Linked DNA regions of Arabidopsis thaliana. The protein of the gene in region 2 interacts with the protein of the main gene of each other region in a biochemical or structural test. Each region holds a gene or a part of one and is shown on either strand. Other genes may lie near its edges. The genes, in order: IAA7 and AFB3.

Evidence for each region.
Region 1: the proteins of AFB3 (region 2) and IAA7 form a complex in vitro, tested with the Arabidopsis thaliana proteins (one study listed by BioGRID).

The regions. Positions count from the first base shown.
Region 1 is NC_003074.8:8,192,698-8,197,746, reverse strand, and holds IAA7 (indole-3-acetic acid 7), read right to left. Parts: upstream 3,142-5,049; 5' UTR 2,980-3,141; coding exon 2,741-2,979; intron 2,184-2,740; coding exon 1,930-2,183; coding exon of another isoform or gene 1,919-1,929; exon of another isoform or gene 1,673-1,918; coding exon 1,537-1,672; coding exon of another isoform or gene 1,533-1,536; exon of another isoform or gene 1,225-1,532; coding exon 1,163-1,224; intron 1,072-1,162; coding exon 1,031-1,071; 3' UTR 592-1,030; downstream 1-591.
Region 2 is NC_003070.9:4,368,160-4,373,476, forward strand, and holds AFB3 (auxin signaling F-box 3), read right to left. Parts: upstream 3,140-5,317; 5' UTR 2,924-3,139; intron 2,787-2,923; 5' UTR 2,622-2,786; coding exon 2,170-2,621; intron 2,094-2,169; coding exon 1,598-2,093; intron 1,506-1,597; coding exon 720-1,505; 3' UTR 601-719; downstream 1-600. Other genes in the region: AT1G12810 (proline-rich family protein), read left to right, coding at 313-361.

The DNA.
Region 1 (5,049 bases), on a different chromosome or scaffold from region 2:
CCCCTCTCATGGGTCCTGAATTTGATAAATTCCTCCCACAAAATTAGAGCGCAAAAGAGGTCAAATTATACTATTTGGAGGCATCAACGACTTACATAATTTATATGAGATTATTAATCTATAATATGAATACAATATATATATCTAATGATCCATCATCCATCCACCAGTAAGAACCATCAATAACTCGCAAGTCGTAACAAATTGTAAGTGAGTAACAAACATCCGAATATTAAAACTTTTATATCCTCTTTTGTAACTGTATCTTACTCACTTTTTTTTTAATAATGAAAACAAATTATATTGATTTCAACATATTTTTGAAATGATGACTAAATTAATCTTGTAAAGCCGCTACACATATAATCATCAGTTAGTTTAAAATATGACAGATTACGGACCACATGTCCCAAAAAATTAGGATACACAATTTATGATGAAATGACAACAAACCAACTTTAAATTCTACTTCTTATTTTTTTTGTGGGTTGTAGGATATGTTCAATTGTTCATTAAAGACTTCATCTAAAAGTCAATACATAATCAGAGTTTTTAAAACTAAAAAACGCTAGTAATGGTTAGAGAGTAGAATTAAAAAGCTAAGATTTTATTGGTAAAATAGTAAACATAACAACGAATTATTCATTTTGGGAAAAAACTATTAGATAACACACACAAGAAACGACAAGTAGCAGAGTAGGGATCAAAACACATGTACATGTACACACACCTACATACACACATTTATATGTATGCACATATCAAGTTGTGATTGATCATCAAACCGACAGACACATGTTGGGCAATAAATATGACACAAACACAGAGATATTGAAGTTTCCTCTCTTTTGGTCACATTACAAGTTTGTCCACATCTTACTGGTAAAATACTGCCCTATATACCCATCAAGTATTTAAAATTACAACACACATATATAGGTGATAGCCACATACAATCATAAAAATACATATAAAATCAAGAACCCGTCATATTGTTGATCATTGATGCTTCTTTTTTTTTATTATTAATTCAAGATCTGTTCTTGCAGTACTTCTCCATTGCTCTCGGAGCTATAACCAAGAAAACAGAATTATATTAAAATAAAAAGAAAATTGGTAAAAATTGAAAAACAAAAAAAAAAAAAAAAAGTTAGAGATGTACCAAGTCCAACTGCTTCAGATCCCTTCATAATGCGCAAACGTTTGCAAGACTCGACAAACATTCTGAAATAGGTATTCAAGTTTACGGTTAGAACATTAGAATATGAGTCGTTAACATTTAAAGTTTATTCTAAGGTTTTTGGCAATAATATGATGATGTGCCAGCTACGAATGAGCTCTAAACATATCGATACTATTGTATAATTTTTGAAAGATCCTCTTGTCTCTTGCCAACCAATGCATGGTTGTACGTATTTATAACACATGGATGTTGAATATCTTTGGCTTTGTCTCTACCAATTTCGGGAAATGTGGTTAACGAGTCAAGTTATAAGTTATAAAAAAAAGTATATGAAACGATTAAATTTGACTCACTCCCATGGGACATCGCCAACGAGCATCCAGTCACCATCTTTGTCCTCGTAGCTTGGCACATACTCAGAGCTATTCAGCAGATTCATTAGCTTGCTCTCGTTCATGAAATCTATCATTCCTTGTGCTCCATAGTTTCCTTGAAGATATTCAAGACATTCAAAAATCATATAAATTTATGTGTCATTATTGTGTAATATATATAATACATATTTAAGTTGTATACATTTAGCAAAATCTCATCTTGTTAATATGTATAGGGTTCGAATGTATAGTTCTATGACTCTAACTCGGTAAGGTTCATGAGTTTTGTATGAATAAATGTAGTAAATGATATACTTTAATATACGAATATAGTTTTTTCACACTTTCCGATTTGAAATTTCTAATACGTACCCATAGTAAAGGAGCTGAACATTTTGGCCAATGCATCAGAAAGATCCTGGTAGCTTTTGTACATCTTGAGGTCAACTTTCCTCAGATATGGAGCACCGTCCATGGAGACCTTCACCAAGCCGGCTCCGGCTGCTCCTCCACCAAAGTTCCCGGCCTTCTCACTGCTGGCCTCCTCCGCACCACTACTGGTCTTCTGCTGAGTCATCATGTTCTTCCTGTAGTTCCTCACAGGTGGCCATCCCACCACTTGTGCTCTACATAGAACAACATTATTTAGATAGGTGTATATCAACCAATGTAATTATTAGTTACCATTACTGCCTTTATGGGCTTGATTGTAAGTTATAACATGTATTATTTCATGTTTGCTTGTACGCATGTATGTATTGGTGTTTAAGTTTCAACCACGCTTTAATTATTATTATATTATTTCTTAGTATTATATTGATAGAAAACAAATATAACTTCAAAGAATCAAAGTTATGCATATAAATTTTAACAAAAAAAGGTAATGTATATGGGAAGTATATATATATATATATATATATATATATATATATATATAACTAACATTACAAATTTCAAGAATTTTTAGTTTATTCATATGTTTATGTAAATCCCTCACAATATTTATGTTCTGCGAGGACATATAACTATGAAATTTATATATATTCGAATATTCTAAGAACTTAGACATAGATGTGTATAAACACGTATATATGTATATATATGGACTGGAAAAAACTAAGAACTTTTTAACCAAAAAAAAAAAAAATCTAAGAATATATATATATGTAAATGTGTAGCTTACTTAGCAGGAGGCTTAGAAGGATCTTTAAGGGTAGTCTTCTCCTTGGGAACAGCAGAAACGTTTTTGAGATCAACGGAGCCTTCTTTGTTAGATTGAAGATTGAGCATGAGATCAACGGTTTCGGAGAAGCCTCTCTTGCTTCCCACCGCCGATTTGGCAGGACTCTCAACTGCTTCAGCGCCGCCGGGGAGGCCGAGACAGAGCTCCGTGGCCTTGAGGTTCATAAGTTGGCCGATCATGTTACTTGTAATAGATTAGAAATATTGTTTCTCTCTCTGAAAAGGTAAGAGGGGAAGAAGAAAGGAGAGGAAGGGGCAATAATAATATAAGGAGGGAGGATGGTGGTGGGGTGTATGTATTCGTGTAATTGCATGTGCATGTCTTTTGCTCTTTTTTCTTCATTGGTGGGGTTTATGACACGTGGGCTTGATTAGATGTTAGTTAATCATTTCTTCTCTGTTACTACAAAATTAAGCTAAGATAATTTTGTTTTGTTAATCTTCCATCTAGAAAGTTTTGAATGGTGACCGGGAAATTATGTTTTAATTAACTACGAGGATCAGGTCACATATTGATCATGATATGTAATGTAATTATTGTAGAACCGCGAAAATCCGGAGAGAAAACTTTGAAAACGATTACAAAGATTCCAAAAATATGATCATTCTTATTTTTGTGACAAACTTCACTGAAAAACTCGCCGAAAAGTTAGCCGGAAATACTTTGTAAAATTGAAGTTCCAACAGTTACGTGGTAGTGATGTTTTGTGATACTATCCGAATTCAAATAGTATGTATGAAGTCAAGTTATTCTTGACAATATATATATATACATATATGATATATTTTATAAAAGACTTTGGTATGATAATAAAAAGATGGGACATATTTCTCATATCTTACCAATTTGAAGAAAGAGATGATCTATGAGAATATTGAGAGCAACATATCTCTTACATAACCAAGTCATCTTGCTCCAATAGTAAAAGAGTGAAAAAATTTGCCACTTGAGTTCATGTAATATTGGCCATCATGGTTCGAATTCTAACATTAGTTTTTCCGAATCTCATAATTGGTGTTTGGATCTAAAAGTATTTTAGCATCATCTTTGTTATCAAAAAATAAAAAAAAAGACATATATATCTCTCACATCTTACCAAAATTTACATGTAATGTTTGCTTGACTTTTCGTATCTAATAGTCGGACTAAACCAATATGGGTCTTTTGACTCTGACGTAGTACTTATCATCGACAAATTTTCCTAAATAGCACATTAGATCACATATATTGGTTGTATAATTGTGTTCAGCATTTTTACTTAGAAATATATACAAACAAACTACAAAAAGTTTTGTTTGTTCTTCTCGTACGGTTCTGACATTTTTTTTAAATTTATTTGGTTCTGACATTAAACATACATTATAGTTCATAGTGAGCTACATCGTCTATTCTGGAGTTTCAGGATGTAGTTTGTTTATAAATTTGTAATGGTTGGGTTAGGTCATGTAGTTTTAAACATATTTCAGCTGGTTCTACCACTCTGTGTAGCTTTAGTATTTTAGCATTTGTACTATGACTCTATGAGTCAATACAAAGCTAGCATATAACTAGGTAGTATATAATACTTATATAGTATGAAACGAATTCAGATTGTTTGTTAAAGAAGAAAAGAATAAGTTCTCACAACATGTCTATATATAAACTATGAATGTATTAATTACTTCTATGTTTTGTTAATAGCCTATTTGTTACACTTTGTCTCCTCTGGTCAACTGTTCATCGCATATAAAGCAAGTGGAATTGGGCGGTGAAATTCCGTTAACCAAATTTGGTCAACATTCTAATTAGTTTGTGTCAAGCAATACAACTATACAAGTCACGTATATTATTTTAATTGTTTACGGTCTCCCGTTTTCTCTGTATCATCTTGGTTATTAAATGTGTCTTACTAAAAAATTAAAAATAAAAGAATAGTACTACTCATTAATAAGCATAGACATTTGTGGTATATAAACAGAGAATCTATTAATTGGTCTAGGTACATGTTCTTAGTGAGGACACTGAGTGAAGACTGACATCGATTTTCTTCTTCCCAACATAAAAAATGAACTTAATGCTTCTTTGTAATGTGAAAAGACTTGTAATTTTTACAGATGAAATCAAGGGCCATTGCATCATGGCTGACGAGACTGAGGAAAGTTCCTGTATTTTTACACTTAATTTTGTGATCCGTTTTGATCAAAAAAAAAAATTGTGATCCGTTTTATATATACATTTGATGCGCAACCAATCGAGTGAAAATATGTGAA
Region 2 (5,317 bases):
CTTCTAAGGAAGGTTCTTGTCTTTTTATGATGAGTTTAGAGCTATCCATGTATAGACACATTTTTATGTTTATCTGTTGGACAGGATCTTTTACTTTTCAATGGATCTAGTGACTCTCTTAAGAACTACCTAATGGCTTTTATTTTACATTCTTAACCCCATAATATTTAGTATAAAGTTTGTAGATAAAATGTTATATCATCTGCAGCTTTTCTTTTAGTAAGAGATTTGTGATTGACCTCAAGTAGCCTAATCATGTTGCTTACAAATTGCGATTACGGAATCCTTTTTTTTGTGGGTTGCGAATTGCAGTCTTGCTGCTCTTTGCTGTTGCTGTTTGTTGGAGGAATGCTGCTTCTGAGAATGCCGCCAGTCTCTGTGGATCTCGTCGTTTACTGTCAGCATTATGTGTCTAATCGAAGACATATGCCATAACACTCTATGTCTTGTGTACTATCGTGTGTCAATGTCTGTTAATGTTTACCTCTTTGTTTGAGAGTGCACTCATCCAGAGCATGGATTAGACAAGTAGGTTTCTTGTGGATGTCATTGTAATTTGTATTATTTGGAAAACGTGATTGGTATTTTACCTAAATTTATGTTTTCAATGGCTGAATTACGGTGATAATAAAATGCGACATTTGTATTTGTTCCAAGTTTGATAAAAGGCAAAAACTAGTACAAAGAAAAGTTTGAAAACACATGAAGGTGCAAAGAGACTAAAGAATCCTAACATATGGTGGTGCATCTTTTCTAGTCCCAACCACTGTTCGGTAGAGGTAAAGTTTATCAACCTTCTCTCTTTCATCTTCTTCATTCTGTTCCATCCCATTATTCTCATTCTCGTTGATGATCTCTACGTTAAGCCGTGGCGAATTCTGCGCGAGCCTCTTGCAGCCACCGAGTGTTACTTCACAAGACGACATCCAAAGGGATCGCATTGTTTCGTACCTACCCACGTCAGCAAGAAGCGCAGCGTTCCCAAAAGGACTGTCCCTTATCTCCAGCTTCCTCATTTTTTTGCATCCATTCAACACATAGAGCATTCCTTTGTCAGTGTCCCCCGCAAAAGCTATCGAAAGCATCTCGAGCTGTTCCGCGTACATACCGATGTAGAGAAAGACTTGATCGGTTAAGAGACCGGAGACAGAGAGCCGTCTTAGACCCTTGCAAGCTTGTACGATTGCACCAAAGCCCTCGTCCAGTGATTGAAATGTAATGTGGTCAGGTTTGTGTGGCTCGAGAATGCATAGCCTGAACCGGATGAAGTTTGGACAGTTTTTGGCCACGGCTATGAGCGCTGCGTTTGTCATCTGTTTGCAGAAGTACAGAATCGAATGAAGTTTAGGGCAACCTGCGGAAATGGCGACTAGTCCAACCTCAGTCACAGATGCGTTGTTATCTTCTTCACCATGTACATCAGAGGGAAAAACTCTAAGCTCTTGTAACTCTTTACATGTGGCAGCGACAACCGCAAGTCCTTTGTCACCAATACTATCCAATATCTGTAGGAACCATAAAAACCATTTGTTGTCAGGTTAGCAAGTTAGTTTATTTTCTTCAGGACAGTGAAAAGAGAAAGTGAGAACAAACTTACCCATAATCGTTGAAGTCTCTTGCAAAGCTGAATAAGCTTAATGAGGTGGTTGCCTTGGATTTCAGCTGCATAGCTGAGGTTCAAAGAGATAAGGTTTTGGCAAATTGGGTAGAACGCTGGGAGGCAGAGTGGAGCAACCTCTAAAAAGCCAGACAAGCTCCTTAACGATGTGTATTTCTTAATGGCAGTCATGAGTTTTGCAAAAGATTCAGGATCTGGCTCATTCTCATAAGACCCTACTCCTAAGTCCACTAGCTGCGGCGCACAACTCATTAACCTTGCGAGTGCGTCAAGCGGTACTGCACGGTTTAACTTCAAGCTCTTCAGGTTTGGTGACCTAGCAACAAGCCTTTCTAAAGCAGCAACATTGGTCTCTCCTTTAAGGCAAGCGAAATTCAACGACATAAGAGTAGTGCAGCTATCTGGAAAACAGTTCAGCCATTGACCTCTATGATCATCAATCTCATTCTCTTGCAAGTCCAGCTCACGAAGATGCCTAATAAGAAAGACAACAACACATTTTAAAAACAACATAAAACCTAGAGAAACGCCAGTAAAAGAAAGGCCTTTACCTGCAATTAGCGGCAATGGAAGCTAAGCCATCAGTGGTAAACCCTTCACAGCTAACAAGAACCAAAGACTTGAAATTTGCAAAAGAACGTGAAAGAAGGTCCAAGCTTTCATCTGTTACAACCATCCGCTTCAACCTCAGCTCCTCAAGTCCCACACGGCTTCTAGCCAAAGCTTCAATCCAAGGATGCACGAAACCTCCCCATTCATGAGGAACCAAGTTGAAGTCTGCAAAATGAGGCTTCCCTTTTAAAGTTAAGGATTTGAGACATGGAAACCTCCTGATCAACCTCTCCGGGTTAATCGCGTAGCAGTTTCCGATGAACACTTCCTTCCTACTAAACCTCTCGATCTTGTGCCATGATTTGCAGACCAGAGATATCGAGTTCCTGTCTTTGTGAGAAGCTACGAAGTCAAACACGTGCTCTATAACCTCGTCTGGGAAATAATTCATCTTCCTCTATTGATTGTCGAACAGAGGAATTGACTTCAAGCTTAGCTCAGTGAAGAAAGCTTCGTGGTCCAGTGAGATCCACAACACTACCAGGTTCGAAATCGGAGGCTCACAAAATGGAGAAGCTTAGAAGAGCTCAAGAAAATCCACCGAAACCTGAAGAATCTGCAACAAAGCGAGATTCAAATTATACAAACTAATTTAGAAACAACAGATCCTGAAACTCGATAAACTAAACACAGAGATTAAGATTCAGATCTACAAGAAAGTAAATGAGCTAGATCTAGAAAGAGTTTCGAGACCTTGAGCTTATGAAGCTACTAAGATCGTCGTCGGAACCAAACTCGCTGATGATTCGATTGAAGAAAAACGTTGGAAAATGATGAATCTGGATAAAACTCTGGAGTTAGCTTCAAGTCCAATGATGATGAGATGATCAAAGATTTGGATGAGTGAGAGAGAGAAGAGAAGAGAGAGATCACGCAAGCCAAAAAAAACCAGAAACTCTGTAATGGAACAATTTAATCAAGAGGAGAGAAGCTTTAACCTAGCTGACCAAAAAACTAACCATGGTTAAGTTAAAGCTTGTTGGGTGTTGGATGATCCAACGGAGGAGAATGGTTCAATGGATAGCATAAAAAGGAATCTTGACCGTTGAGGAGTGGTATGGTTAATTGGTTATGGCATGTGTTGCTCACCACTGGTTTACGAGACCTTTCGCCAAAGAGAAAGGGTGAAGTGATGCATTAGTGTCAGAGCAAGGGACATGTACAATGCCCTTGTCTTTTTATGTTATTACTAAATTGCCATGTAAAAGCTTTCATGGCCAATAGGAAAATATAATATGTTCCATACTGAATTAATTTATTATTGGTTTTAATCGTTTTTGATTACGTATAATCAATCTTTCACGGTTGTTAGAAAGTGCAACAATGTGAAAAGTATTCGTGAAAATGATATTTGATGTGTATTAATATTTATTGGTTAATCTAATATAATACGGTATTTTTAATTCGTTAAAAAGTACAATAAGAAGAAACTAAATAATATCCAACGTACTGTCGTATCGTACTGCATCAAATACGTATGTTGTTATTCCCACATCATGTTATTTTTTTTGTCAAAAATTTGTTATCCCCATTTTAGACACTTATTTCGTTAATTTATAGTCAAATAAACTCGTAATTTTAGTTAACTGTGGAATAAACGAAAAGAAGAGAAGCAAATTTGTCGTTGGGACGATGACACCTTTTACGGAATTAGAAGTTGATGAGATTTTTTTTATTTTTTTATGTTTTCATAACCAAACAAATCCAAAAGCTAATCAAACTCCCATCTTTTTCAAAAGAAGGTAGTTATGGGTAGGGTTCCATCTCGATTAATTCGTAACTCTATTGAAAACAAACAAGTTTACTATTCAAACAATAAAAAGATTTTTAAGTAGTACATTTTGTTTCGATTTGTCATATACTGTATATTTAAGACAAATTCTAAAAATCATCGTTTAATTGTGTTTTACTGCCTAAATTCAGAATTTATAATATTTATATTAGTTTTTTTTTATATATATCTACTAGATAAATAAACCAAAAAAAAATCATTAAGAAAAAAAGAATATAAAAGGAGCAAAAAGGTGGCATAATCAAACTCAATAATAGACCCACTTGCAGATTATTACATGGAGAAAAGGGGAAGAACGAAGAGTACACAAACAAAATCATTGTTACTACTCGTTGAGACTCGAAAGATTAGAGTCATTTCTCTAGCACACCATTAATTTAGTAGTTTTGAAAATAAATGGCACTAATTATTGGTCAAGTACTTACTATCACATACTATCAACTAATAATCTTTCATAATCCTCTAAACATTTCCCTAATTGCTACTCGTATGTAGAAACAAGTTTAAGTCCTTTGTTGTATCTTCATACTCTCTGGAAAATCAACACTTGTCTTGGTAAAAGTAAATTATTTTTTAATCCAAAAAAGTTATATAGTGATGATTTCACCTCTCTCTTGACCCATCATATGCTACAATGGCTGCCATGTGAATGCCACCTTTTAGTAATCATCTCCATTTTCACCATCGATAGCCCCAAATATTTCACCATTATCTTGGTTTCAGTTGACTCGGATAATGCCTGAATTATTGGATTTTACTGTGCAACCAACCCCCATCTCTCACCTTAGTTAAATTATCTGGTAAAGTAAGTCCAAGATTTGATTATTTACTTAAAAATACATATTCAAGCATTTCTCTCCTTTCCAAATAAAAATTTTGGGTTACCTTTTAAGACAAAGTGAGAAACCTAACAGTAAGAAAATAAAATATTCAGGGGTATCAAAGCTTAGAATATCGAAAATGATAATCATCTGGTCTCTATCATCGGTAAAAGTTTTTGTAATTTTCTTCTAGAACTCTTATCTTCTTCTATTTTCTTTTTCCAGCTTTTGGTTGGTTCATGAGATTCTTTTTCCTTTTATCCTATGAATCCAAAGGCCCAAAAAGCAGAGAGAGAGAGACTCATAATGACGCATGTCTCTCTTATTCAATAATCTCCCACATACAAACACCAGTAGTTACACAATACCAACCACACACATCCATATCATATCAATAACATCATATACACATATCGATCTGTCGACATACATTACACATTTTAAGTATGTATGTATTTGTATCTCCCAATATGA